7 linked regions of the Ovis aries genome follow. The protein of the gene in region 6 interacts with the protein of the main gene of each other region in a pairwise test. Links are inferred from orthologs where the notes say so. Each region holds a gene or a part of one and is shown on either strand. Other genes may lie near its edges.

Region 1 (4,185 bases), on a different chromosome or scaffold from region 6:
GAACACTGGAGTGGGTTGCCATTTCCTTCTCCAATGCATGAAAGTGAAAACTGAAAGTGAAGTCACTCATTCGTGTCCGACTCTTAGTGACCCCATGGACTGCAGCCTACCAGGCTCCTCCATCCATGGGATTTTCCAGGCAAGAGTACTGGAGTGGGGTGCCATTGCCTTCTCCAGACTGTTACTGGTGATATCCAAATTGCTAAACTACCCTCACTTTACAACCGCACCAAGATCCTAATTGTTCCCAGTTTATCAAACAGCCATCCCATCCAGAACTGATCCCTGCTTCTCAGATCCTCCTTAGAATCCTCCAGGGGGAATCTGAACCTTACAAACAGTTCTTCCCTCTTGTCCAGCACATTCCATAATTCCACTGGGAGATGTATTCCCTGACTTGTGCCTGGTAGTTTTAACTAAACAGACCTTAACACTTTCAAACAAATTTCAGGAATTGTATTAAGGAGATAAAAATTAAGTGTGAGTGATTCATAGACTACTCACTTTCAGACTATTTTCTGACAATTTCCATTCCTTCAACTTTTGCCCTGTAAAATCAAAATTAATATTTACATTGCTATGCTCTATGCACTAAAAATTCTTAATAAGAGTATGATGAGATTCTCTTAGAGGCAAAGATGTCATTTTGATATCTGAAAGAAACACATATTGTTTTGAAAAATAAAAGGTTACCAGAACAGATAGGATTTAAAGGGGGGGGGCGGGGGAACTGTACTCCAAAAGTATTACTTTCCAGTATTTTATTACATATTATTCTTTAAAGAAAGGTTGAGATATCTATGACATTGTTTTTCCACAATGTAAATCGTTTTTTTCCTAATGGTGAAATACAGTATCAACATCAGGGGCGAGGTGTCACAATTGCTGAATTGCCCCATGTCTTCAAAGCACCTAGTACACCCTTCATAGCGGCTTTCTAAAACTGTAAATTACTTAGATAATTCAGTCTTTCTCACTCTATATGATGTAAATTCGAGGAGAGGAAGACAATTTTGTGTTTACTTTGTCCCCAGCGTGTTACACAACCTGGCTACTAATTAATAGTGATTTTAACTGTTTTAACTTCACGCACTTCGTAGCGCTCCAGCGATGCTTACGCTATTGTCTGTTCTCCGTATGAAATTTGTTTTGTTTTGCTTTACGTCGTAATATTCGTCGAGTCTAAAAGACATGAAAACTACGGAGCAGAAAAACAGCTGCTCAAACCTAACCCATTCTACTGACCTACCGTAGAGCTGTAGGAACAGCTCGAGATCTCGCGAGGCCAGTTTCGCTTGGGCCCCGCCCCCCCCGCCCCTGAGGCCCAAGTGCGCATGTGTGGGTCGCCCGGAAAGTGCCACAGTGGCTGCCGGGAGAGGGAGGAAGTCCGGAAGTAAACATTGGCGATCGTCTTCATTCCTGTCGAACTGTGCTACGGTCCGCAGCGGTGGGACCGGGTAAGGAAATCTTGTGAGAACTTGGAATGAGGAGGAGGGTGAAGGTGGAAAACTCGGGGAACAGGGCCAGAGGCTCCTAATTTTTAGGAATATCCTCACGGGATTGATGAACGCAAGGTTGAGAAGGGAACGGGGACCGAGAAACAAGGAAGCAGCTGTCCTAGGCCTCAGAAGTGGTACTTGTGCCCAGTCAGACCAGGACTGTGTCTTCAGTGGTTTTTAAAGTAAGAGTTATAAGGTGCTATTGGACCTGAACTGTGCTTGTAATTCTTAAGCACTTGAAATGTTGGCCAATCTGAATACATGTAAAATCCGTATCAGATTTTAAAGAATTGGTTTATTTTTTCCTATGTTGAAATGAAAATGTGTTGATAATTAGACAAAATATTGCAAAAAGTAATTTTATCTGTTTCTTTTTGCTTTTTTAATATGTGTGTGGAATATTTAAAATGACATATAGGGCTGGTGGTTTCTCTTGGACAGCGTTTCATTTGAGGGTTTTCAGTTTGGGTAGTGGGACAAGATATGACCAAATCTGTGTTTGAAAAAATAACACTGCAGTGTGGAGAACTGATTGGCAGGAATCAGAAGAGACTAGTAGGGAAGAGTAATACACTCAGATTATTGATAGAAGGAGATGAATTCTAGATAGCATATTGAAAAGCAGAGACATTACTTTGCCAACAAAGGTCCGTCTAGTCAAGGCTATGGTTTTTCCTGTAGTCATGTATTAATGTGAGAGTTGGACTGTGAAGAAAGCTGAGCACCGAAGAATTGATGCTTTTGAAGTGTGGTGTTGGAGAAGACTCTTGAGAGTCCCTTGGACTGCAAGGAGATCCAGCCAGTCCATTCTGAAGGAGATCAGCCCTGGGATTTCTTTGAAGGGAATGATGCTGAAGCTGAAACTCCAGTACTTTGGCCACCTCATGCGAAGAGTTGACTTATTGGAAAAGACTCTGATGCTGGGGGCAGGAGGAGAAGGGGACGACAGAGGATGAGATGGCTGGATGGCATCACTGACTTGATGGACGTGAGTCTGAGTGAACTCAGGGAGTTGGTGATGGACAGGGAGGCCTGGTGTGCTGCGATTCATGGGGTTGCAAAGAGTTGGACATGACTGAGCAACTGAACTGAACTGAGATGAATTCGAGTGATATTCAAAAAGTGAAAATAACAGTACTTCGTGATGAAATAGGTATGGGAATTAGATGGAACACTTATGAAAAGGAATGGATGGTGGTATCTTTCATCAGGAGAGGGAACAGTGGAAGATTAGATTTCATAGAGAAGATTATGAATTTGAATTAAGACTAATTGAGTTCAGGTTTCTTTGAGACATCTAAGTGGAGGTACTTTGAAGTAAGCAATTGGACTGTATTTATCTGAAGCTCAGAAAAAAGGTCTGAAGTAGAGAAATAAATTGGAGAGCCAACAGTTGTATATCGTGGCTATTGAAACCTTGGAAATAGATGAACTTGTCTTCTGGTGGAGTTTAGAGTGATGAAGAATTGAGCCTTGTGGAATCCAAAATTCAGTAACCGGGCAGAAATGGAGGAACTTATGAAGGATACAGGAGGAGCAGTGAAAGGGGTACAAAAAAACCCAGGGAAATATGGTGTCACATCAGCCAAAGGATAAGAATATATCAAAAGGGGGAGGAACAGAACTGAAAAATGTCCAGAGGACTTAGCACATTGCTAACTTAGAGGTATCTTTGGAGCAGGGAGGGAAATGATTGAGAAGGGCAGCAGATAATGTGGAAATAGAGATAATGAATATAGGTGATCTTAAAGCGTCCAGCTTTTAAGAGGAACAGAGATAATACCCTGTGTACTCAAGAAGGATTAGTGTGGTAGAAAAGTTTGAGACACATATGTAGAGAGGAAATCAGGAATATATACATGAAAGAATGAGTCTCATGAAATTTTAAATGCATGTGCATGTCTCTCTCCACTTAACCAATTAGAGTTGAAAACACAACTGCAGCAGCATATAAAGATGTTAGTGGAGGAGAAAGAGACCTTTCCCTTACAGATGCTATGAAAGAAAAAGAACATATGAAACATTCTATATAACCCACAGTATGTGTTATTAGGGTGTACTTTTGATAGTTTCTCAGGCCTAGTTTATTCTAATAGTTATCTCTTCCTTTTCATGCAGGAGGTTAGATAACCATGTCAGCTGCAGCTGTGGATGCAGCTAATGCAGCCCCCTTGTCGGGATCCAAAGAAATGAGTTTGGAGGAACCAAAGAAGATGACTAGAGAGGACTGGAGAAAGAAGAAGGAGCTAGAAGAACAGCGAAAATTGGGTAATGCCCCTGCAGAAGTTGATGAAGAAGGAAAGTAAGTACTTAATTTTTTTTGCAAGATCTGTTCATTCAGAATTCAAATTCATGTCTACTTAGTTTACCTATTTCTCATCCTTTACTTTGACAGGAAACCATCTTTACCGTTTCCATCATTTTTGTTTTCATTTATTGTATCAAACTCACATGTATAATGTTTAATAAATAATAACAAAGGACTTGTAATGATAGTCCTTTTTAGTTCTTCCCACTCCCTGTCCTACTGTACACAAGTGACTACAGCTGACCTTGAACAACACAGATTTGAACTGTGTTGGTCCACTTATGCTCTTATTTTTCTCAGTAAGTACATGCAGTGCCACACAATCTGCCACTGGTTGAATCTTCAGACTCCAAACCATAGGTACAGAGGCCCAGCTGT
Region 2 (3,500 bases), on a different chromosome or scaffold from region 6:
GAAATTGATAATGAATATCTATATGAGTATTAACTAATACAGTTTATCCCAGCAGAACATAAAAGGATAAAAAGACAGCATTAACTTTTGTGCAGGCCAAGAGCCTAATGGGTTATAAACACACCCTTCTGGCCTAGAGATAGAAAAGCAAATAAACAAAAAAACCCTTCCCTCTTATAAGCCCTGAAAATCAAAGATCTAACTAATACTGCCTTCCTCTGAAAAATATCAATATGGGGATATATTTTTAAATTTTAAAATAATTTAAACTCTAAGCTAGATTTTTCTAATTATTTATTGTTTATATTTCAATAGATACAAATCTTGACTCTAACTCTGGAACCCAAGAACTCACCAAAGAGTTTTCTGTGATGCAGAAATACCTCCATCTGCTGGAATTTTAGGTGTCTGTTAATTCTATAACCCTGGAAACTAAAAATCCAACTTTTTTGGTGGTGGGGTTAGATATTATTCTATTTAATTACATTTCAACAAGTATTTATCGTGTGCTGAAGATGTGCCATGCCCTGTGCTATGTGATGTGAAAACATGACAGGTTGAACTAAACTCCCTGATATCCAGAAGCTCACAATCTAGACGGAGGGAGAGTTGTGTAAATAACCACCATAACTCAATGGAACAAGTGACATACTTACAATACATATGCCATCAATTCTGAGGTTGAGATAGACTGGGCCATTGAGAGTAATGTGTGAAAGTCCAAGAAGAAAGCTCTTTCCTGACAAAGGTTATGTGTCAAGGCTCAGCTGCCTTTCTGCTCCTCCATCAACCCAAAAGTTCAGGTGTGGAAAAATGGTACAGCTGAGTACTGGATGCATTCAGGACACAGCTGCTAAATCTAAATCTATTTTGGCCCTACAAATGGAGCTAGATTCTGCCTGAAGGCCGAAGGCTGCCAAATCCTAATTTAAGACACTGCCTTTCAAAAAACAGAATTAAAAAAAGAAAGAAATACTCATAATGAAAGTACCTCATGATCCAGTGCACACATTACCTTTAAATATGATCCATAGTATTTCGTTACGTATGAGCTGTCACACTGACTCAAAACCGTTATTTCTTGCTGAATGTCTTCAATTTCATCTTCGGCTTCCTCGAGGTCTATGATTTTAATAGCAACCACTTGCTGGCTACGGTTATCAATTCCTTTGAAAACTTCTCCAAAGGAGCCTTTTCCAATGCGTTCTAATTTCGTGAAGAGCTCTTCTGGATCGGCTATATTATTCTGAGGGGGCAGGGAGAGAAGAAAGGGAAGAACACAAACATTTTGTATCAAAGTTTTAAATGAAGGAAAATAAATCATGTAAGACAATATCACATTTACCTAAAAGAAAGCATACAAATTCCCTTGACTCTCCACACGTGCTTTGTTAGAACAACTGTAACCCAAATGGGTAGTCCATATTCTACTGGATCACCCACATTAAATGGGCTTAGCTGATCCTGCTATCAGAAACGATCTCATACAGCAAATGTTGTCTCTGGTGCATGCCAAAGGGCCAGACTCTTTTTAGAATAAAGCAGTTGACTATATACAATTTACACATTAGTACAATGGTAGTGATAGTGAGAGAATACCTAACCTACTGTAGGTAGGGGCGTCATTAAAATTCTTACATTCCACCAGCAAAATATTACCTTTAAACTCTCCGACTTGGACAACCCAATCACAGCACCTGTACTTGAAAACCACCATGTAAACAACACACAACACAAAAGACCCAAGAATCTACAAGTCTTTTTTTCCTTCTTCTTTATTTGGGATCCTATCTGTATGTGTGGCTCAGATGGTAAAGAATCTGCCTGCCATGCAGGAGACCTGGGTTTAATTCCTGGTTCGGGAAGATCCCCTGGAGAATGGAATGGCTACCTACTTCAGTATTCTTGCCTGCAGCATCCCAGGGACAGAGAAGCCTGGTGGGCTATAGTCCATGGGGTCATACAGAGTAGGCTATATGACTGAGCATCTAACACTTTCAACTTTCATTTGTATGTAATGCTCTCATCAATGGCTGAAAATAAAATTCCAGAATAAGTCAATATTTTTCTACAGAAAAATCTGAATCAAGCATAACTTTTCAGGTTAACAAATGTATTGGCAAGACTTAGATTTTATAACTTCACTGTCCTTCCCTGACTCAGAAATATCCTTTATTTAATAGTGCACAATTTTTATTTCAAATTTGACTCCCATAGGATAACCCTTAACCTTACTTAAATTCATATTGCTGAATATATACTGCTGATCAAGTAGAAAAAAGGATTTCCAAACCTTATTTCCAAACCAAAAGTCATGTTATTAATTAATTTTACTTTTTCATGGAAGGGCATTTTATTTTAAATATAATAGTAGTGTGTACATGTCAATCTAATTTACACTTAACTGCCTTATTAGTCTACAACTAAAACTTTACTTTGAATTCCTTCAAAATATAGAAGAATGTTATATAGTTCTAACTTGTCTATATTTAATTTGTTAATTGCACCTAGATTATCTGTTCATTTATTACAATTTAACCTGGTCATCAATTTCAGGAGGCAAATTATAGTTATTAGCATGTTCCTCTAATATCTTTTTTATTAGACAAATAGATCATTAACATTAATTTTCTCTCAAGTTCATTGTACCATCATCACCAAACAGACACAGTAAACTGCCCGCTTTTGAGTAACTTAAAAACTTATGACTGATTTTAAAGAATTTCACCAATTTTTCTCTTTTCGACCTGCCTAAAAGACAGTTTACACATGACCTGCTTAATTTACAAGCTTACCCATTCTCCTTGATTGGACTTTTTCCATTTTTAAAAGACAATTTTCCATGTATGCCATAGTCTCTTTGGTATGGCAAGCTACTTGTTATCTCCACCCACCTCCAGTACTCACATGGGACAAATACATCTTCAGCTGCCCATATGGGCTTTAAAAATAGTTTAGACTTCTTTAAATTGCAAACGTTTCTTTAATGCCAACATTTTGTTATAAAATACCTTTTACAAAACTTGAGTACCATCACTATTGATTAACTTGGTGCTTAATTTCTTACCAAGACATTGTGATTACTATCACATAATAGCTAACCCACAAATTATTCTTCCTACTTTTGGTAATGGTTCCTTTCTTTCTAGTAGCTTGTGGCAAAAATACTCACCAAACAGCTCAGTGATAGGTTCATCACCTTATAGTTCCCTAAATTCAGTGAATTTGGAAAAATAAAAAGAGCAAATCTTTCAGGTTTCCTGATGTAACTACAAAATACTCTAAAAGTTATAAATATACCATTGATTAAAAAGTAGACAATACGGACTTTCTGATAACACATTCTGGACCAGGAGTATATTAACTGTATAATGAGATTTTTTTTGTTCTTGGAAGAAACAAAGATTAAATCCTAATCTTCCTAATTCATGTTTTAAAAGGATTTGACTGAAACAACCACCCCGAGGGAGAACACAGCTGTTCTCGCTTTCTATAATAAA
Region 3 (4,101 bases), on a different chromosome or scaffold from region 6:
TCCCTCCCCAACTCAGGCCACTTGAACCAGCTATTCATTCTTCCCACAGCGATGTGGCCTCCTGAACTTCCACTGAATAACTGCCTCCGGACAATCACGCAACAGCTCAGAAGTCATCTCACAGAGAAACTTCCCTGGCCTGTGACCATCACATCCTTCTGGGCTTTTTTCCCCCCTTTATTGTGCTCAGCCACTCAGTCACCACTGACTCTTTGCAACCCCATGGACTGTAGCATGTTAGGCTCCCCTGTCCATGGGATTCTCCCCAGCAAGAATACTGGAGTGGGTTGCCATTTCCTCCTCCAGGGGATCTTCCTGGCCCAGGGATCGAACCAGCTTCTCTTACATCTCCAGCATTGACAGGTGGGTTCTTTACCACTAGCGCCACCTGGGAAGCCCTTTTTCCTTTATGGCACTTAATATAACCATAAGATCATTTCCCGCATTTGTTGATTCATTGTCTGTTTCCCCATTTTAAAACGCGAGTGCCCCCTGAGAGCAGGACTGTTGGCCTGTCCTGTTCATCTCTGGATCCCCAGACCCTAGCACAAACTAGGCACTCAAGGAACGTAAGTTGGATAGGTGACTCATTTCACGCCAGGGCTCTCCACCTATCCTGAAAACACACACCACTCCATCTTCAGGCTACACACGTTCCGGGTGTCCTGAGGACGGAAAGTGAACTTGTTTCCCGCCCTTGGCTATCTCAACAGATCCATTCCAATTTCCGGACTAAGTGCATTGAAAATGTTGACGTCCGCGGCAATTTCCCTCCAAAGAAGCAGCCCTCTCAACATGACCTTCTCAAAACTGAGAACTGCTGTTTATCCCCCTTCGAGATATGGTGACGGGACGGGAGCAAACGAAGATGCTCATTTTGCACAGGAGAACACAAAGGCCCGGGAAATTTTTAATCCTAGATCTCTGTACACATATTCTGGGCATTGCTGCTGCTAAGTCGCTTCAGTAGTGTCCGACTCTGTGCGTCCCCATAGACAGCAGCCTACCAGGCTCTGCCGTCCCTGGGATTCTCCAGGCAAGAACACTCGAGTGGGTTGCCATTTCCTTCTCCAATGCATGAAGGTGAAAAGTCAAAGTGAAGTCGCTCAGTCGTGTCCGACTCTTCCGGACCCCGTGGACTGAAGCCCACCAGGCTCCTCCGTCCATGGGATTTTCCAGGCAAGAGTACTGGAGTTGGGTGCCATTGCCCTCTCCCTCTTGGCATAGCAGTTCCAGAGAATCCTGGATCTCAGGCCCCGCCTCCTCGCTGAGCACTGTGCGCGGACCCCGCCCCCGTTCTCGCGAGAGCTAGGAGCCGAAAAATGGCGCCGACGTGAGCGCGAGCCTGCGGCCACCGAAGGAGTCGCCGCAGCCTTAGTTGGAGCCGCCGGAGCTGCAGGAACAAGAGGCTGAACCAGGCTGAGGATGGTGAGCGCGGCACCGGGGATGCGGACGCGGCGAACAAGCAGGGACTGGCGGGGAGCGGCCTTCTAAGCCTCCAGCCGACCCCGCCTCCACATCCGGGCAGTCGCCTGCCGCTGTCACTCAGGGAGCACCCTACCCCCTACTTCCGGTCCTGGCTTCGACTGGGCCACGCCTACAGAGCTCAGGCACCGCCCCCTGATCTTTATATGTTTGGGGTCCCAGCACCTCCCGTTCGCCTGCACAGCTCGAACCCCTCTGGTAGATATATCTCGGTCCTCAAACACCCACTTGGCCACTTCTGGCCCTCCAGAATCTTCTTAGCCGCGTCCTGTTCAGAGCCCCGCCTTTGCGACGCCCACTCCCTCAGGGCCACGCCCCTGCCCTGTAGTGGGGGGCCCCCCAGCTTTCCAAGTTAGGATCAGAGCATGCTTCTTATCATATAGGGGCTTCCTGGAAAGGTACCCCCTTCTACATTTGGCACACCTCCCAACTCTCTTCCGAAGGACGGGGACACTGGAGGCAGACGTTCAACCCTCTCACCCACTGCCTCTCCTTAGTATGGGAGCCAACTGGGTGACGTCTCTGGGGCATTCGCTGTTTTAGAAACACCGAATGGTTATGGCGAGGTGAAGGTGTTCCCCTAGCTGGCGCAGGCAGACCCTGGGCCCAGGGGGTTCTCCCCACCTCTTCCTTCCACCAGGATGAGGAACCCTCGGGGCCCAGCCCGGACATGCCGGCTACTGCAGAGCCCAGCTCCAGTGAGACCGACAAGGGGGTGTCCCCAGTTGTGGCTGCTATAGCCAAGTCCTCTTCCATGGAGGAGGAGCCGGGCCCTGACCGGGCACCCACACCCCCAGTGTGGGAACGTGGAGGGCCCACCGGAGGGACCCAGCAGGGTGCCTCCCCAGCCCCAGACAGTGGCCATCCAGGACCTGGACACAGCCTTGGCCCAACCAGCACTGTCTCCAAGACCAGTGAGGACCTGCGACCTCCCAGACGACGCCCACCACCAGGTGACACGTGATGGGACCTTCTGGGGGATCACAGGCCTGGAACAACAGAAGTGCAGATTACTGAGTATCTCCAGACTGGGGGCCCACCTAGAAGGAATAACCACTTAATGAGCCCCATTGCGTGGCAGTCTGTGGCTCCAACGAGGAGCCAGGGAAACTCAGCCGCTACTTCCTGGTGGGGGAGGCAGAGGGTAAAGGCCCCAGTAAGAAACCATAGTTAGTAGTTGCAGGGTAGTTGCAGCCCCATAAATGCCCCTCTGAGGCAGCGCCCTGGACGGCGTGGATGAGGAAGGTATAGTGACCCTCCCCCTGCTTCTGTGCGTCCTTCAGGGAAGCAGATACCATGCTCCAGCCCAGGCTGCTGCCTCAGTTTCCCCAGCGTTCGAGACCTGGCACAGCATCTGCGTACCCACTGCCCACCCACACAGTCCCTGGAAGGTAGGGCCAGGGTAGATGGTGGGGAGGCAGGTTAGGGTGGGAGGCGGGCCGAGCCTCTGGGCCAGTCCTGGCCACCCCACTCCACTCCTCTGTCATTCATCCCTGCGCCGCCAGGCAAGCTCTTCCGCTGTTCCGCCCTGAGCTGCACCGAGACCTTCCCCAACATGCAGGAACTGGTGGCCCACGGCAAGCTGCACTACAAACCCAACCGCTACTTCAAGTGAGACCTGGTCCACCGTGACCTCTGTTGGTCAGGCAGCTCCCCCTGACCACCGATTTTGACAGCTACTACCCGGGGTCCTGGCTTTTCTCCCTTCCTTTTCCGAGGGGGTTGAGTCAGGAAGAGGGCGTGATCTAGGGCCAGCTTTGCCCTTACCTGCCCAGAAGAGACTGGTCTCTAGAGCCAATCCCAGGGACCCCGAGGGCGGGGCTTGGGAGGGAGTATGTGTGTAAAGGGGAACAGAGATGGCATGACTCGGCCCAGTCCTCTGCCTCCCAAGAGGAAAACTGATCACCTAGGTCAAAATTGAGACTTCCTTCCTCATCTTCCCAGGGTTCGGACCTGGGGAAGTCCGGAAGGGTCGCGACCACTGTGGGCGGCGCTTAGGGCAAACTCCTCCCCCCGCAGATGCGGGAGTCAGGTTATTTGGCCCCAGGGTCCTTGACCACCCTGGAGCGGCGGCTCTCCAGGTTACGCGGATAGGCCCCTCCCTGGGTCCCCTGGGAGACCCAGCCCAGCCCTGTGCTGCCCCCCAGGTGTGAGAACTGCCTGCTGCGCTTCCGCACGCACCGCTCTCTCTTCAAGCATCTGCATGTTTGCGCCGAGCATGCGCAAAGCCCAGCCCCGCCGCCGCCACCCCCGGCACTGGACAGGGAGTCGCCGGCATCCGAGCGCCCCCCGGAATCTGATCCTGCGCCGGCGCCTGGCCTGCCGTACCCGCTGCTCGAGCCGTTCACGACCCCTGCCCCTGCCCCCACTGGGCCCTTTCTGCCCTACCTGAACCCCGCGCCTTTTGGCCTAAGTCCCCCACGCCTGCGCCCCTTTCTGGCCGCCGCTCCTGGGCCCCCTGCCTCCAGCGCCGCCGTCTGGAAAAAGAGCCAAGGTGAGTGTGGGCTATCAGGGCCGCCTTCAGGGTGGGCTGGGCTCACTCTGACTTCTGACCTTGACCCGCCCGTTGACCGCAGGTGCAGGCGGCAGCCCGCGAAGACCCCAGGGCAGCTCTGA
Region 4 (3,966 bases), on a different chromosome or scaffold from region 6:
CGCCAGTTCACCATTCAGCCTGTCTGTGCAATTCTCACAGGAAACCCATGGGAAGGTGGCCTTATTCTCCCCATTTTGCAGCTAAGCACACGACAGACTTTTTGAACAGGTGAACCACGGGAGAAAATTCCTTTAAATCCTGTGTATATTCAATAGTTAGTGCTCAGTCTCTGTCTTTGGGACCCCATGGTCTGGAGCCCATCAGGCTCCTCTGTCCGTGGAATTCTCCAGGCAAGAATACTGGGGTGGGTTGCTATTTCCTTCTCCAGGGGATCTTCCCGACTCAGGGATCGAACCTGCGCCTTCCGCGTCTCCTGCACTGCAGGCGGACTCGTGTATATTCAGTAACAGCAACTAACTGTGCCCTAACAACAACTAGGTGACAAAAAATTGCACAAGTAGGGCAGGTGCAGAACCCCGACGTCGGTACGGTGTAGGTGTAGTGTTATTCACGGTCGCCTCTTTCGGCGGCAAGCCGAGCTCCAGCATCTCTAAAAGCCAGAGGTCGACCCCTCAGCCTGCCCCGTGTCGCCCGCTTCGTGCCATTTCCGCAGGTCTCGGGTGGGGAAGGGGAGGCCCAGGACCCAGCTTGCTGAACGAGGAAACATCCAGACGCAGACTCCATGAACTACCCCGTTTCTAGCCAAGATTGCTGGCCCTGAAGCTTCCCTGTGCAGAAACTGCTCAACATGCTACTGAAAAGGGGTTTCAGAGGCCGCCATTTCTCTCTGGCCATTCCCAAGCCCATATCGTTGCGGCCCTATATTGCCCATGGACCTCCGCAACTCAGTCTTTCCCCTTCTTTTGTGCAGGTTAGGCAAAGCCTTGCTGTCCCTCACTCCGACAACAACTTAAAATCAAATCTAGGAAGTAAAAACGCCGCCGCCCCCGGGGATGGGGGTGGGGCAGGGGGTTAGGGGTGGGGGAGGGGAGGAGGCCACCGCCCCGCCCCCGCCCCTCGGCTCCTCCAACGCCTCGGAACTACCAATCCCAGCGTGCCCCGGGGCGGCGCGGGCGCAGGGGCGCGTGCGCGGCGGGCAGCCGTTGGCTGGAGCAGCAGTTGGGCCGGTCGCGGTGCTGGGCGGTCTGCGGGCGCTGGCAAATCGGGCCCAGGATGTAGAGTTGGCGGTGCCTGACGGCGCGTCTGACGCGGAGCTGGGTGGGGTAGAGAGTAGGGGGCGGTAGTCAGGGGTGGTGGGAGAAGGAGGAGGCGGCGGCGGTGAATCTTTTATAAATGGCGCCGAAGCAGGACCCGAAGCCTAAATTCCAGGAGGGTGAGTTTGATCCCCTGGGGACAAAGCATCTAACGGCCCGGAGAGGGAGGCGGTCTCGGGACGGTTGAGATTTGGGGACTGGGGATGGCGAGGGCCGTGTCCCCAGGCGGCGGCGGGCAGGGCTTTGTGCGGAGAAAGCGCATTGCGGCGAGGTTTTTCTGTGCTTCGTGAGGATAAAAACACTTTGGGAGGCGAAAGCGTTAGGCAGGCGTTAGAAGGCGAGAGGGAGCCGTTGCCTCGTGGCACAGCCTTGGTGCTGTGTTTGTTGTCGTTGAGAGGAAGAGGGCGCGGAGAAAGTAGCCTATTGTAGGGAGGCGGCGGGCGCGCCATGGCGGCCGTTAGGGGAAGTGATGTGGCGTGGGGGAGGGGAGGCGGCGGCGGCCGTTTCGGGCTCCCGTCCGCGTGGGCGTCCGAGGGTTGGCGCTCCGCGGCGACCTCCAGCCGCGAGCGGATAGCTCGCGGTGGAGCCGCGGAGCCGCGGCTGGAGGGGGTTGGCTTCGCTTCTCGGGGCGGGAGAACTGCGTTGTAAGATGGCCGCTGCAAGATGGCGGGCCCATCATGGCCGCCGGCGCCTGGATCCACGGCTCGCGGCCGCAGACGCCGCTTTAGGGCAGAGGAGCGCCCCCTTCTTCCCCCGCCGCAGATCGGGAACCGGTTTTTCGGCGCTGGCCCCGGGGATGTGGGTGGGGACAGGAGGGAAAAGCGCGAGCGTTCACTCGGCTTTGTGTCGCCCGAAGGCATCCCTTTGCTCTCGGAAAAGCGGAGTGTTGGTGTCCTATGGGAACGTGAACGCGCTCTGGCTGCGCGGTGGCTTGTAAAGCAGTAATGAAAAACTGCTTTAATGCGGTGTTACTACCTCATTTATGTGAAGTCCCGTTGTCTTGATGTCAGCCTTTTAAGTACGGCAGTGGTTTGGTTAATTGCAATAATTGATTAACAGTGATTTGAAAGTTGAGTTTTTATTGTCTCTGATCAACGTGAAGGCTGACTGTAGAGAGCCTGATTTCCAGAGGAAGACAGCTCTGTAATTTTCACTATTACTGCATCTGTTAATTTATATAGTGGAGGTTTAACAGTAAACTGAAGTGGATATAAAATTATGTAAGGCAAGCAAGAACACTTTAAAATGCTCATTCACATTATTGTGGTTGTACGTGTTAGATACCACGGATGTCGAGACGTCTGCAAAAAATTGTAGGGATGTTCAAACTTTGATATGCGTTAGAATTACTTTGAGTCATACACACAAAATCCAAGCGTATTGTAACAATGGAATATTTAAAAGATTGCCGCGGGTGTTTTCCCTGTAACTGGCTCTTAATACCTGCTTTCTCTCACTCTGAGAAGCTACGTGACGACTACTGTGAATTGCTTGCATTGCTTTTAAAAAATCAGATGTTTTAGAGCAAGGATTCTTGATCTAGGGTGTTTATAATTCAGAACACCCCTTGTACTTGGACAGGAAAGAGTTTTTTTTCGATTTTCTAACTAAAATTAAATCTACAGTTATGACTGTAGATTTCCTCCCCCACAGAAAAGCAAAACAAGACCCTCCCACAGTAGTAGTAGCTGTAATGTTTTCACATCCCAGCATTAAAGTTGCAGAAGATACATTCAGATGTATGCTTTTCGTTGTTTCAGAATTGTGGTAGTTTCCTGGATCAGCAGCTAAATGTTTATTGTATCAATTAAGGAGCTCATATAATACCATAACACATGATGTTTTAAGTGTTTTTATAACTGTCTCAATATAGTTCGTTTCTTTTGTAGTACGGTTTTACATGTTTGTAGAAACATTCTGAGAAAAGGCCCAAAGACTTAACCGGACTGAAGGGTCCACTGCACAAAAAAAATTTATCCTCACTGTAGGACATCAAAGGTAAACGACACAGACTTGGAACAGTTAAGGATGGCTTTCTGGAGGAAGTGCTTTAGTTCTAAACTGGAAAGGATGGTAGAGTGAGGGAGGATCCATATGCTGCTGTAGCAGTGAATTGGAGAAGAGGGCGGCAGAGGATGAGTTGGTTAGATAGCATCACAGAGGTAAGTGGACATGAATTTGCGCAAACTCTGGGAGATAGTGAGATAGTGAAGAACAGGGAAGCCTGACGGTGCTGCAGTCCATGGGGTCGCAAAGAGTCAGACACGACCGAGCGACTGAACAGCAAAAGGAGCCAATGTAGCGCTATGGTTTTGAAAGCTACCTGAGTCTTTGCACTTTGCAGACGTGTTTTCTACTCCTGTGTCAAAGTTGGGTTGTATAACCATCTTTTAAGAAATTATTATTTTGGGGATTCCCAGGTGACCCTAGTGATAGAGAATCCATCTGCCAGTGGAGGAGAAGGGGAGAGCTGAGGGTTCTCTGCGTGGGTAGAGATGCGCCCCTGGAGAAGGAAAGGCTCCACTCCAGTGTGTTTGTGGAAAATCTCCATGGACAGAGGAGCCTGGTGGGTTACAGTCCATGGGATTGCAAAGAGTTGGACAAGACTGAGTTATTTAGAAGAGAATATCTTGTAAGGAGAAAGGAATATTCTGTAGGAACTAGCAGAATTATATTAAAACACTGCAGAAGAATTGAGCTAATGTGACGGTAAAAATACGAATGATGGGAAAGTTTTTTTCCGATTCTCTTTTAAACTTGAAAATTTCTGTTGTTAAATAATGGTGCAGCATATGTTACAAGCATTTTTTC
Region 5 (4,130 bases), on a different chromosome or scaffold from region 6:
TAGTGCCTGGGCCTTGCTGCTGCTCAGGGCCCATGCTGGTCACTACGCTATGCATTAGGGATTCTGCTACTGGTGACTACTAGTCACAGAGCAGAGGAATCTTAGTCTGCCTCAGTTATGGCCAGGCTTTCCAGGGAGAAGAGAAGAGCACTGGGATCTCAATGTCCTACATTGTGAGATAAAAATAATGATAGCACCTGCCTTCTGGAGTTCTGGTGAAAATTAAATGAGACTACGTAGTTTTGACACAGTGTCCTGCATTCAGTAAGTGCTCAATAAACGTTAACTATTATTACTATTCAGTTCTGTTTCTTCTCAGTCACCAACTCTAATATCAGACAGATAGTAATACAACACTGGGCTTCCCTTGTGGCTTAGCTGGTAAAGAATCCACCTGCAATGCAGGAGATCTGGGTTCAATCCCTGGATTGGGAAGATCCCCTGGAGAAGGAAAAGGCTACCCATTCCAGTATTCTGGCCTGGAGAATTTCATGGGTATAGTCCATCGGGTTGCAAAGAGGTGGACACTACTGAGCGACTTGCACTTTCAATTCTAGTACAAAGAGAAAAGCAGTGAACTGAAGCAGGTAGCATGGGCTCCAGTCTCTGCCAGCCTAGCTGTAAGTGGTCATTTTACATGTCTAAGCCTTAATGCATGCACTAGAAAAATGTAAATAACACCTAGCAACACTATTCATTGATTTCATTGCTTCATTAACATCCACAATATAGACTTGGTTCTCATGCTAAATATGGAAAGCCAGGATATGAGATACAGCTCTGCGTGCAAGAGCTCGATGTAAGAAACTACAAAAGAGTATCTGTGAAAGTTTCCTATAGGTCAATAGTAAGATTGTCGGAAGTAAGTGCTGCTGTGGACTCTTAAGTTTCTAGTTTCCAAGAAACTTTGTCTCAGAAACCCTCCATCTAACTTCTGGAGATTTGTTTGGAAGGTGAGAGCGGGAGAGGCAGTTTTAAATAAATGAGCAACCTTCCTGTTAGAAATGAAGGAAAGAACAGTACTGAGTCTGTCTGGATTTGATCTGCGACTCCACATCTAGCAAAACAACGGTCTGAGCTCCGTCCGGGCGGTTGACACTCACAAAAACGCTGGAGGGGGACGAGCTTGGGGAACTGAGATTGGGAGAACAGGCCCCAACTTGCCGGGAGAAAGCTGGTATCTCTGGTGAGCATGCGCATTTTGACTTTCTTCTTGCGCAAAGCCCCACTTGCTCGGAATGCTTACGTCAAAGTCTACGTTGAAAGACGTAAGGAAGGAAGCTAAGGAAACGCCGGCCCTCGGGTCACGTGATGCGACGGGAGCGTCGTTGACTCCTCCCCCACAAGATGGCGTCCTTGCTGCAATCGGAGCGGGTTCTCTATCTAGTCCAGGGAGAAAAGAAGGTTCGGGCTCCGCTGTCGCAGCTTTACTTCTGCCGCTATTGTAGCGATCTGCGGTCGCTGGAATGTGTGTCTCACGAGGTAACGCAGTCGTCCCATGAAGAGTTTGTGTGTTGGGGGATGGGGGAGGCGTTCCCCCTAGTCACCGCGACCAGCGGGGAAGTTCCGTCAGTTGGAGGCGGGTAGTCATTTTCCTAGCATGCTGATTGGCTTTGCCTTCCGTCACTCGGTTTTGTCTGTGATTTAATTTGCTTATAATTTGTCACTTGGAAAGGAGGAGCGGCCTTGGGTGGGGCTGAACGGCCTTTCTGTTCTATAGCGTCTTCTGATTGGACAAACTAGACTTTGGGGACCCTGGCCATCTACTAGGGGGTTTGGTAATTGGGCGGGTTGTGGGGGGAAAAGATGTCGGGGTGCTTAGTTGAGGCCCCTTGAGGGGCGAGATACGGTCTTCCCAGGATTGATTGAGGTAGTGGGAAAGTCCGCGGTCGTTCTCATCCAAGCGCCTCCTATCCTGGAAGTTCTGCCCCTCCTTGGGCAGAAACCCGGCCTTCTGACTGCCTTGTTCTGTTTCCCAGCCCAGCCCAAGGCCTGCAGCAAAGAAGAGGGTTGGGATGGGGTGAGCTGAGAGAAAAGCGCTTAGAATCGAATCTGTTGTTTAAGAAGCTCAAAGTATTATATTTATGGCGCTTCTCCTGGGGGTACATTTCTGTCCTTCACTGATACAAGTGGGCGTTGGAGGTGAGATTGCTCAGAATGTAAAAGACTCCACCCTGGGGGAAAAAAATCATCAACGAATAACAAAGCCCCCAAACGTCTGCAGCACTTGACGCGTGTTCATTCAGTAAGATTTGGGGCTTAAAAGACGAGTTAAGACATAAATCCTGCTCTTGAGTTACTTGCAGGCTCCTGAAGGAAAAGCTGATTAGTATTATAATACATAGTTTATGCTTATTCAGTACTTTCTGTATGCCATGTGCTTTACATAATCTCCTTTAATCATTCTACCTTTCTTTTAAAAAAACCACTTTACCGTTAAGGGGTTTCCTGGTGGCTCAGTCCGTAAAGAATCTGCCTGCAATGCAGGAGACGCTAGTTCGATACCCGGATGGGGAAGATCCCCTGGCAGAGGGTATGACAACCGACTTAAGTATTCTTACCTGGAGAATCCCACCGACAGAGGAGCCTGGTGGGTTACAGCCCAGGGGTCGCAAAGGGTCGGACAGGACTGAAGTGGCTGATGACTCTTGTATTTCACAGTTAAAGAAACAGGCATAATGTTTGCAGTATGTCACACAGCCAAAAATTTGAGGAAGGGAGGAAGGACCAGGATTTGAAACCGAGCAGCCTGATTCAGTGGACTTCAGTCAGGATCCCTGGACTGTTAAAAATGCTTATGAGAATATGTCCCATACTATAAGCCATTTTACACATTATTAATTACTATTTTATTGAGAATATTTTTCATACTATTCAGAATAGTCAGAGAAAGCAGTTAAATAACAAGGGGGGAAAAGAAAAATCAATGCTGTATTATATACAGCATTTGTTTTTCTCTATTAGCACTTTGTACACTTATCCCTTTGGCAGGCCCTTTCTCTCTATGATGCCTCCCTGTCCCAGCTTCACCTCCAGAATTTACTGATTAGATTCTTATTTGGTGATCAGTAGGGAGCTAGTTTTCATAATCTGTAAGGACACCTTCAGCTAGGACATTCAGTCTGTGACTGTATCTTTTATGGACTGGTGTGCACCTGTGAAAGAGAAGCCATTAGGGTTTGGGGAAGGATGATGCCAATGAGGGTTGAAGCAGTCCAGAAAGTTCTAATGGGGAGCCTGGAATTGGAGCCGCACTTGAAGGGAGGAGCGTAATTCAGAAAGGAACAAAAGGGAATGAATTACATTTTACCTTTTATGATGAGTGCATTATGCCTTTTATGATGCACTGAGTGCAAATATAAGTTAACAGTACTGTATTTTGTGTTCCTGGTGACTATTTGAGCAGCGACTTTATCTTTCAAAGGTGGTTCTGTTTATAAGCAGATGATAAAAACAGAAACCAGTTTCTGTCATAGTATTTATGTTCAGGTGAATCTGTCTTTCCATCTGCAGATGCCCAGAGTTCTAGAATTATCAAATAGGATCTACCTACATTCAAGGAAATAATTATTCAGTCCTTAAAAAAATACAGTGAATTTAATTTTTATACTGTGTTTTCAAGCTAAATACAATAAGACTATCTTGTCAACCTAGTAGTTTAATTTGCCATTTAAAAATCTCCAGTTGGTTGGCTATAGCTGACTTTGTAACTGTTAATTTATGCTTTTCTTCAGCGAACATGTAATACATCAGTAAGGAGAGAACTTTTAAAGTCTCTCAACAATTAAAGTGTTATTGCAGTCCCATAAAGCTGGGAGCAGGCAATGGCAACCCACTCCAGTATTCTTGCCTGGCAAATCCCATGGAGGGAGGAGCCTGGTAGGCTGCAGTCCATGGGGTTGCTAGGAGTTGGATACGACTGAGCGACTTCACTTTTCCTTTTCACTTTCATGCATTGGAGAAGGAAATGGCAACCCACTCCAGTGTTCTTGCCTGGAGAATCCCAGGGAGAGGGTGTGGGTGGGGCCTGGTGGGCTGCCGTCTCTGGGGTCGCAGAGAGTCGGTCACGACAAGTGACTTAGCAGCAGCAAAGCTAGACTAGGTAAAAGGATTTTTGATCACAGCTTCAT
Region 6 (3,500 bases):
CGGCCCAGCCAGACACTGTGGAGGGACAGGGTGATGGAATGGACACTTGAGCTGGAAGTCAGCACTTGGTGCTGCGGCACTCTGCTTTCCCTCCCTGAGATCAGATCCAACTTCGAGTCACTCCGCTATTAAGGCAGGATGGCCCCTGAGAGCCCCTTTGGAGTTCCCCTGGGGTCCCCCAGGCTTCACCAGGCAGCAGTGGGTGACAGGCCTCAAAAGATCTCTAACAGCCCCACTGGATGTGCCCAGACACCCTGGAGATTGGCACAACTAGAAGCCTGCCCTCTGTTGGCAGGACCTGCTCCCTGTTCAGTGCTCATGGCACAGACCCCAGGACCCAGAGACAGAAAAAAGGCACACACCAGGACAAGCAGTATGGCTAAATTCATTTATTCAGAAATAAAAAGTGAAACGAAATAGGAGTCGAATCACCCGGGCACAAACCCGTCCCCGCCTCCACCTTCTCTCTCTACCCTATACTATTAATAAATAAGTTTCCCCAGCCCCAAATATTTAATAGAAGTTCCTCCCCATTCACCAGCTCCAACCTCTGCTGAGATACAGGGGCGCTGCCCTACCTCCAGAATATACAAAATGTTACAGAGTTACAGTATAAACACTGGGGAGGGAGCCCACTCCGCCACCAGCTTATGTTCTTGCTTGGCCTCAATTTGCCCAACTGTCCCAAGGCCTGTGAGAGTGCTGCCCAGTTGTCAAGCTGGGCAAGGAGGGGGCACTTGGCCCCAAAGTGCCTCTGAATAGAGGATGCATGAGCCCCTCTGAAAGGACTGCTTGGTAGGGGTGAGGAAGCCACCAGGGAGCCCCTGCTCCCCAAGAAGGCCCGCCTCTTAAATAAACTGCCTTTAATTGAGCCTCTGGCTCTTTGTTTCTCTCTGGAACTAGTAGCAGTCCAGATATCAAGACACAGCCCTGGCCAAGATGGCAAGGGGCCTGCACCTGTTTGTTTCCCCTCATTTGACGGGGGGCTTATACCCCTTTCTTCAAGGGTTTCAGCGTGCTAGTCTAGGGATGGGGGGGGGGGAGGAAAGAGGGACAAGGAGGCAGGGACAGGTGGGGGCAAAGCCCCCGGCCCCATGTCTGTGGTCTCTGCCTGCCGGTGTCAGGCCACTAGATCACCATGATCTTCACTTCGTCATTGTCGTCAGCTCGGTAGAAGAAGGGGATGCAAGCGTTGCTACCCAAGCCTGGGTGCTCCTGGGGGTTCTGGATCTCACGCAGCAGCTGCATGATCTGCTGCGCGGTGGGGTTTTCAGGGGTGGTCTGGCCCTGCAGGGCCCCCTGGGGGGGCTCCACGTTGTCGGCGAGGCTCACCTCCTGGAGGCCTTTGGGGAGAGAGGGCAGCAGAGCTTAGAGTGGTGTGCCAGCTCACCCCTGCCTGCCCTCCAGTACCCCAAGGGTGCTACTACTCACCACCCTCATTGTCAGCAGTGCTGGGCTCCTGGCAGGTGTGGGGTGCTGTAGTGGGCTCACCAGCAGGTTTCTGGGCAGCCAGGAATTTGCCATACCATTCATTTCGTTCACCCACCAGGCATAAAACCAGTTCCTGGAGCTCCAACAGCTTCACCTGGAGGGAGAAGTACTCAGCAGCCCCGCCGCACCCCACCCCGGCCTGTAGAGACGGGCAGAAGGACCCCTACCTTCATCTCCTCCTTGTCCTGAGCCAGCCGGCTAATGTACTCTTCCTTCTCCTGATGGCGGGCTTTCAGTACGGCCCTCTGACTCTGATAGAGGGCGATATATTCTCCTGCAGGAGGTGGGGAGGGCAGACGTGGCTCAGAGGCAATGTGGTGCTGCCCGCATCCAGCCCCCCGCCCCGGGCCGAGCCTCCCCACTCACCAATAGTGTCCGTCTCTCCAGATAGCTGGATACAGCGATGCTCCAGCTCCTCCACCCGCTCCTTCAGATCTACTTTCTCCTGCATGAGCTCCGTAAAGCGGCCCTAACGCCAGAGGGCAGGGTCAGGGCTCAGCAGCGACCTGCCCACAGGGGCCCCCACCCTTCCTGGACCCCACTGGGGGGCAGCTCACGCACCTGCAGCTTGTCCATGGCCACTTGGAGGGCCTGGTGCGCCTCCGCGGGCACACTGTCTCCCCCAGTCCTGGGGGCGGGGGCCTCCTTTTCCACCCCATCCTGGGCTGCGGCTGCCAGGTTACAGAGGCGCTGGCAGCGTAGCTTCTGCTCCTTCAACTGCCCGCGTAGCCGGGCCTGCTCATCCTCAGCACTGGCCAAGGCCGAGTGGAAAAATTCCACCTGCGGGGGAGAGGGCACACGTGCTTTTGTGGCAGACACACAGGACCAGAGAGGGGTGGGCGGGCAGGCAGAGAGACATGCCTCTTCTCAGGGTCTCGGGGCGCACGCCTGTGGTTGGAGGATGACACGCTGGCTGACCACGGCTCCCAGGGGAGGTTGGGGGACGACCAGAGATGGAGGGAAGAAACCGCAAAGAAGAGTGTCTGAGAGGAACCGCTGGGGATGGGGTAGGGTGGCGGTGGGGGGAGTGAGACAGGCGAGGAGTGGGGAGGTCCGCTCACCAGGGCCTCTCGGCTCTCCAGCTCCTCCGGCACACTCAGCTTAGGCCTTGGAGCCTCCTCATCCTGCTCCTCACTGTCCAGTCCGTCTCCTGTTGGGGACAGACAGGGGGTCTTCAGACCCCCCCAACCACGGAGGCGGAGCAGGCCTGGAAGAAAGCTCAGAGCCCAGCTCTGCCCCCAACCTCACTCTGCAGCCCTGGGCTAGCCAGTGGCCGGGGGAAGAGGACCCACCGTCCCCATGGCCTCATCTAACTCAGGGCTGAAAAACAACTCGGTGCCATGCTGCCAGACGTCCCCCTGCTCCTCAGGCCAGTGTCCTCCCTCCAGGCCTCCCCACTGACCTTCCCCAGGCACAGCCATGATGGTCAGCTGGGCCTGAAGCTGCTGGTTCTGCTGGTTGGCAGCTTCCAGGCGCTCCTAAGGGGCCAGGGAAGAGAGTGAGGAGGGACACAGGCCGCAGGCCTTCCCTCTCAGGGGCCCAGCGTCCCGACGCCCTCACCTGGGTCTCCTGTAACTCCTGGCGGGCCACCTCCATCGCCACCTTGCCCTGGACTTCCTCGTGCTGCAGCCGGTCCATGAGCTGGGTCTGCAGTAGCATCTGCTTGTGCAGCGCCTCCTTCTCCAAGGCCAGCTGCTGGTAGGCGGCCACATGCAGCTGGCAGGCGGCCACGTAATGCTGCAGGTGGTTCAGGTACTCGTCCCGCTGCTGCTGCAGATCTTGAACCTCCTGGCGCTTCACCTCCACCTGCGGGCAGACCCCGGGGGGTGAGGGCAGGGGCGGGGTGATGACCCTGGGGGCTGAGGGCAGGGGGTGGCTTGCTTCCACAGTCTGAGCCCCTGGGCCGGGGAGGCCGGGCACAGACCCCTCAGCCGGAGACGGACACTGCACAGGGCTTTGCCGGTTGCCCGGGTCCCGGCTTCCTCATCCAGAGCCCCGTGCCGCCTTCA
Region 7 (4,095 bases), on a different chromosome or scaffold from region 6:
TTGCATACCCTAAGCTACTGCCTTGAAATGATTCTCAATGCTTCCCAGGTGAGACAAACTCTCTGATGCTCCAGAGTCCTTGCAAGTTTTCCCTCTGCCTAGAATGTTGTTTTGGAGAGGGCAATGGCACATCACTCTGGTACTCTTGCCTGGAAAATCCCATGGACGGAGGAGCCTGGTGGGCTGCAGTCCATGGGGTCGCCAAGAGTCAGACACGACTGAACGACTTCACTTTCACTTTTCACTTTCATGCACTGGAGAAGGAAATGGCAGCCCACTCCAGTGTTCTTGCCTGGAGAATCCCAGAGACGGGGGAGCCTGGTGGGCTGCCGTCTATGGGTCGCACAGAGTCGGACACGACTGAAGTGACTTAGCAGCAGTTAGCAGAATGTTGTTTCCCTCATTTCTAGTTAGATGGACAATCAGTACTTACTCTTCAAATTCCAACTCATTTCCCCTGAAAGCCTGCGCTGTTTCCCTTAGACAGGGCTCCCTCCTCTTAACTTCAGTATCACTTTGAATATACTTGTGTTTGCATGGCTGCTGCTTCTCTAGATGTGGGCTCCTTGAGGGTAGGAGCTTGTCCTTTCCTGGTGATCACCTGGCATAGCACTTGGTATGTTGAGAATCAGACCGATCTACATGGGATTCTAAACCCAAGGCTATGTGACCTTGGTGTATTACTTAACTTCTCTGTGCCTCACGTTGCACTATCTGTAAAATAGTGCTAATGATGCTCAGCAGATTAATTATAAAGACTAAATAGCAAAACTCTTGTGAAGCTTCTGAAATATAGGTGGCACTTAGAATGGACATGATGCCTATATATATTTATTTATATATATTTGTTAAATGAACCCAGCAGAACTCAGGAAAGGTGTAATAATAATTATACACCGTCTAGGTGTCAAATACTGTCCTAGAAAGGGTTGTCATCTTTGTGGTCTAAATGGTAGTCTTAACTGTTGCTCTTTAAGGACAACGGTACTGAGCACCCAAACAGTGGGGCCTGTCATTTACCCGAGTCTTTGGTAAGGGCTCATTACAATGTCGCCCCCGTCCCTCGCTGATCTTAGCGCTAGAGCAAGATCAGGCGCCTTCAGCAAACCAACATGACTCCGGTGTACTCGACTCTGCTTGCTCTGCTGTGGTGGAGAGGAACCAGCACTCGGCCGGAGAGTGACCAGTTCTCAGCCCTGCTGGGTTCTCTTCCCACCAGCCGGCTGAGGTAGCCCCGCCCACCTCGCGCCCACTGGGGGCGGGGCTCAATACGTCGCGCTCTCGTCACTTCCAGCAGACCCGGAAGCGCCGTTGTCCCAGCCGCTAGAGTTAGGAAGTCGGGATGGAGCTACGCTCATCTTAAACCTTTGGCCTGTAGTGCGCCGGGGCCGGGCCGGTGCTGCTGTGGCTGGGTGAGCGGGGAGCGCGGAGCGGCTTCTGGGGCAGTGCGGGCGAGCCCTGGCAGTGTGCCCTTCTTGTGCCAGCGTCGCCCCGCCTCTAGGATAGGACCCGCCCCCGCCCTCCTGTCTGGGACCTGGCAAGCGTTTCTGCCCTGCTGCCCCGCCGCCCTGCATCCGGTCTCAAACAGCTGCTTGGAGCGGATGTGCGGCAGAGGGGGACAGCTATCTCCCCGTCGCATACAACCCCTGCTAGCATCTTCGTGACGCTCTCCCAGCCTGTCCAAACCCTGGCCTGGAGCAACCCGTCCTGAACCCTCATGGAGAAGTTTGGAATGAATTTCGGGGGCGGCCCAAGCAAGAAGGACCTGCTGGAGACCATTGAGACTCAGAAGAAGCAGCTCCTCCAGTACCAAACTCGTCTCAAGGATGTAGTCCTTGCCTATAAAAGTCTGCTGAAGGAGAAAGAGGCGCTGGAGGCCAGCATTAAGGTACTGTCTGTATCCCACGAGGCGGATGTAGGCCTCGCAGGTGTGCAGCCTCAAGGCCTCACCTTTCCTGACTCTGTGGATGACCGATGCTCCACTCACAGCGAGGATAGCACAGGGACCGCCGCCAGCCTGGATACTGCGGCCAGTATCACCAGCACCAAGGGTGAGTTTGGGGTAGAAGATGACAGACTGGCCCGTGGACCACCTCCTCCAAAGTTGGAAGAGGCCAGCGGGTCAGAGAGTGGCGTTAGCAGTAGTAGTGGGGACGGACCATCTGGGGGTGGGGAGGTGGACAAACGACTGCACCAGCTGAAGACTCAGTTGGCTACTTTGACCAGCTCTTTGGCTACAGTCACCCAGGAGAAGTCCCGCATGGAAGCTTCTTACCTGGCGGACAAAAAGAAGATGAAGCAGGACTTAGAGGATGCCAGTAAGAAAGCAGAGGAGGAGAGGGGCCGGCTGGAGGGAGAACTGAAGGGGCTGCAGGAACAGATAGCAGAAACCAAAGCCCGGCTTATCACGCAGCAACATGATCGGGCCCAAGAGCAGAGCGACCATGCCTTGATGCTGCGTGAGCTCCAGAAACTGCTGCAGGAGGAGAGGGCCCAGCGCCAGGACTTGGAGCTTCGGTTGGAAGAGACTCGGGAAGCTCTGGCCGGGCGGGCCTATGCAGCCGGTCAGATGGAAGGGTTTGAACTGCAGACCAAGCAACTGACCCGTGAGGTGGAAGAGCTGAAAGGTGAGCTTCAGGCTCTTCGAGATGAGAAGAATCAGCCTGACCCCCGGCTGAAGGAGCTTCAAGAAGAGGCTGCCTGCCTCAAGAGCCATTTCCAGGCTCAGTTGCAGCAGGAAATGAGAAAGGTAATTATCTTCATCTCTTTCAAACATGAGTCATTTAACTTAAAGTGGCTTCTCAGGTGGCTCAGTGGTAAAGAATCCATCTGCCAATGGAAGAGATTCTGGAGATATGGGTTTGATCCCTGGGTCAGGAAGATCCCCTGGAGTAGGAAGTTGCAACCCACTCCAGTATTCTTGCCTGGAAAACCACATAGACAGAGGAGCCTGGTAGGCTACAGTCCATAAGGAAGTAAAGAGTCAGACACGAGTCAGCACACACCACTTGTGACACATGGGGAAATATTAGTGTTTTTTTTTTTTTTCTCCTTTGACAGAACTAAGTGCCTGCACTGTTGGTTTTTTATGCGCTTCGAAAAGTTTCACTTGTGGGTCCTGAGAAATCCTTTTCTGTGTGGTGTTGACAGTATCCACAGAGTGCTTCCAACAGGATGTGGAGTTTCTGAGTGTAGTCTGAAGTTGGAGCTAGACAGATCTGAGTGTCAGGGCATGGCATCTTCCCAGCTGTGCTCTGTGAAGCAGTGTAGCAGCGGCTGTGCAGTGGAAGGTGGAGTGGGGGCTTATGGCAGTATGCCTATCTATGGGTAGCAGTGGATGCCTGTAGGTAGGGTGGCTGGAGGGGACAAAGGGAATTTTCATAGAAGAAATCACCTCTTCTATTGCTTGCAGTCAATATTTGCCATGTCTGGAAAGATAGGCTATTTTCCAGTGCCTCCTTTCAGCGTGGGGAGAGATCCAAGCCAACTCTGAACTTCCAGGAATGTTGGAAGAGGAAAAGAATGTAATATGGTGAACAGCACACTTACACGTGAGCTTGGTGTATGGGTGGAGAGAGTAGAAACACTAAAGCAGAACAGTAGCAGATCTCCAAAGACTCTTAATATCATTGGGTATAATGTGTGTCTGAGAGCAAGTTACAGGAGCTTGGGTTAGCTCCCAAACTCAGAAAGCTTCCCAGTTCCCATTTTTTTCCAGGCCACCTGCATCCCATAACCTTTTTGTCCTCCCTCTCTTGCTTTCTTAAAGTTGACCCTCCGACCCTGTGGCTTTTCTGGATGCATCTCCACCTGTTCCCTTGTTTTTTCAGACAGCCCTCGCTGAGGATCAGCTGCGCCAGCAGTCTCAGTTGGAAGAGCAGAGGGTGGCGGCCCTGGAGAATCAAATATCCCAGGTGTCGGAATTGCTGGGCACCTACGAGAAAGCCAAGCAGAAGGACCAGCTGGCCATCCAGAAGCTGAAGGAGCGCATTCTGCAGCTGGACCTGGAGAACAAAACCCTGGCTCTAGCGGCCTCCAGCCGGTCCCCCCTGGACAGCCATGGAGAGGAGTCCAGTCTGGATGTCAACGTCCTGA

What was found.
Region 1: the proteins of GOLGA2 (region 6) and SLU7 interact in binary tests that used the Homo sapiens proteins (3 or more experiments, as listed by UniProt). The two-hybrid records come from large-scale screens. The link is inferred for Ovis aries from reciprocal best matches to the Homo sapiens genes GOLGA2 and SLU7.
Region 2: the proteins of GOLGA2 (region 6) and STK26 interact in binary tests that used the Homo sapiens proteins (3 or more experiments, as listed by UniProt). The link is inferred for Ovis aries from reciprocal best matches to the Homo sapiens genes GOLGA2 and STK26.
Region 3: the proteins of GOLGA2 (region 6) and ZNF414 interact in binary tests that used the Homo sapiens proteins (3 or more experiments, as listed by UniProt). The two-hybrid records come from large-scale screens. The link is inferred for Ovis aries from reciprocal best matches to the Homo sapiens genes GOLGA2 and ZNF414.
Region 4: the proteins of GOLGA2 (region 6) and MORF4L1 interact in binary tests that used the Homo sapiens proteins (3 or more experiments, as listed by UniProt). The two-hybrid records come from large-scale screens. The link is inferred for Ovis aries from reciprocal best matches to the Homo sapiens genes GOLGA2 and MORF4L1.
Region 5: the proteins of GOLGA2 (region 6) and DCTN4 interact in binary tests that used the Homo sapiens proteins (3 or more experiments, as listed by UniProt). The two-hybrid records come from large-scale screens. The link is inferred for Ovis aries from reciprocal best matches to the Homo sapiens genes GOLGA2 and DCTN4.
Region 7: the proteins of GOLGA2 (region 6) and GCC1 interact in binary tests that used the Homo sapiens proteins (3 or more experiments, as listed by UniProt). The two-hybrid records come from large-scale screens. The link is inferred for Ovis aries from reciprocal best matches to the Homo sapiens genes GOLGA2 and GCC1.

The regions. Positions count from the first base shown.
Region 1 is NC_056058.1:69,558,318-69,562,502, reverse strand, and holds the start of SLU7 (pre-mRNA-splicing factor SLU7), read left to right. Parts: upstream 1-1,385; 5' UTR 1,386-1,457; intron 1,458-3,617; 5' UTR 3,618-3,631; coding exon 3,632-3,801; intron 3,802-4,185. UniProt on the Homo sapiens protein: Required for pre-mRNA splicing as component of the spliceosome. Participates in the second catalytic step of pre-mRNA splicing, when the free hydroxyl group of exon I attacks the 3'-splice site to generate spliced mRNA and the excised lariat intron.
Region 2 is NC_056080.1:102,807,049-102,810,548, forward strand, and holds part of STK26 (serine/threonine-protein kinase 26), read right to left. Parts: intron 1,247-3,500; coding exon 1,016-1,246; intron 1-1,015. UniProt on the Homo sapiens protein: Serine/threonine-protein kinase that acts as a mediator of cell growth. Modulates apoptosis. In association with STK24 negatively regulates Golgi reorientation in polarized cell migration upon RHO activation.
Region 3 is NC_056058.1:14,856,404-14,860,504, reverse strand, and holds the start of ZNF414 (zinc finger protein 414), read left to right. Parts: upstream 1-1,301; 5' UTR 1,302-1,425; coding exon 1,426-1,428; exon of another isoform or gene 1,429-2,125; coding exon 2,126-2,438; intron 2,439-2,768; coding exon 2,769-2,876; intron 2,877-2,990; coding exon 2,991-3,096; intron 3,097-3,632; coding exon 3,633-3,979; intron 3,980-4,061; coding exon 4,062-4,101. UniProt on the Homo sapiens protein: May be involved in transcriptional regulation.
Region 4 is NC_056071.1:22,937,796-22,941,761, forward strand, and holds the start of MORF4L1 (mortality factor 4-like protein 1), read left to right. Parts: upstream 1-1,166; 5' UTR 1,167-1,234; coding exon 1,235-1,274; intron 1,275-3,966. UniProt on the Homo sapiens protein: Component of the NuA4 histone acetyltransferase (HAT) complex which is involved in transcriptional activation of select genes principally by acetylation of nucleosomal histones H4 and H2A.
Region 5 is NC_056058.1:59,874,098-59,878,227, reverse strand, and holds the start of DCTN4 (dynactin subunit 4), read left to right. Parts: upstream 1-1,330; 5' UTR 1,331-1,347; coding exon 1,348-1,482; intron 1,483-4,130. UniProt on the Homo sapiens protein: Part of the dynactin complex that activates the molecular motor dynein for ultra-processive transport along microtubules.
Region 6 is NC_056056.1:8,025,803-8,029,302, reverse strand, and holds the end of GOLGA2 (golgin subfamily A member 2), read right to left. Parts: intron 3,298-3,500; coding exon 3,052-3,297; intron 2,970-3,051; coding exon 2,894-2,969; intron 2,642-2,893; coding exon 2,553-2,641; intron 2,272-2,552; coding exon 2,053-2,271; intron 1,961-2,052; coding exon 1,858-1,960; intron 1,766-1,857; coding exon 1,659-1,765; intron 1,586-1,658; coding exon 1,432-1,585; intron 1,344-1,431; coding exon 1,129-1,343; 3' UTR 375-1,128; downstream 1-374. UniProt on the Homo sapiens protein: Peripheral membrane component of the cis-Golgi stack that acts as a membrane skeleton that maintains the structure of the Golgi apparatus, and as a vesicle thether that facilitates vesicle fusion to the Golgi membrane.
Region 7 is NC_056057.1:93,527,761-93,531,855, reverse strand, and holds the start of GCC1 (GRIP and coiled-coil domain-containing protein 1), read left to right. Parts: upstream 1-1,295; 5' UTR 1,296-1,717; coding exon 1,718-2,749; intron 2,750-3,830; coding exon 3,831-4,095. UniProt on the Homo sapiens protein: Probably involved in maintaining Golgi structure.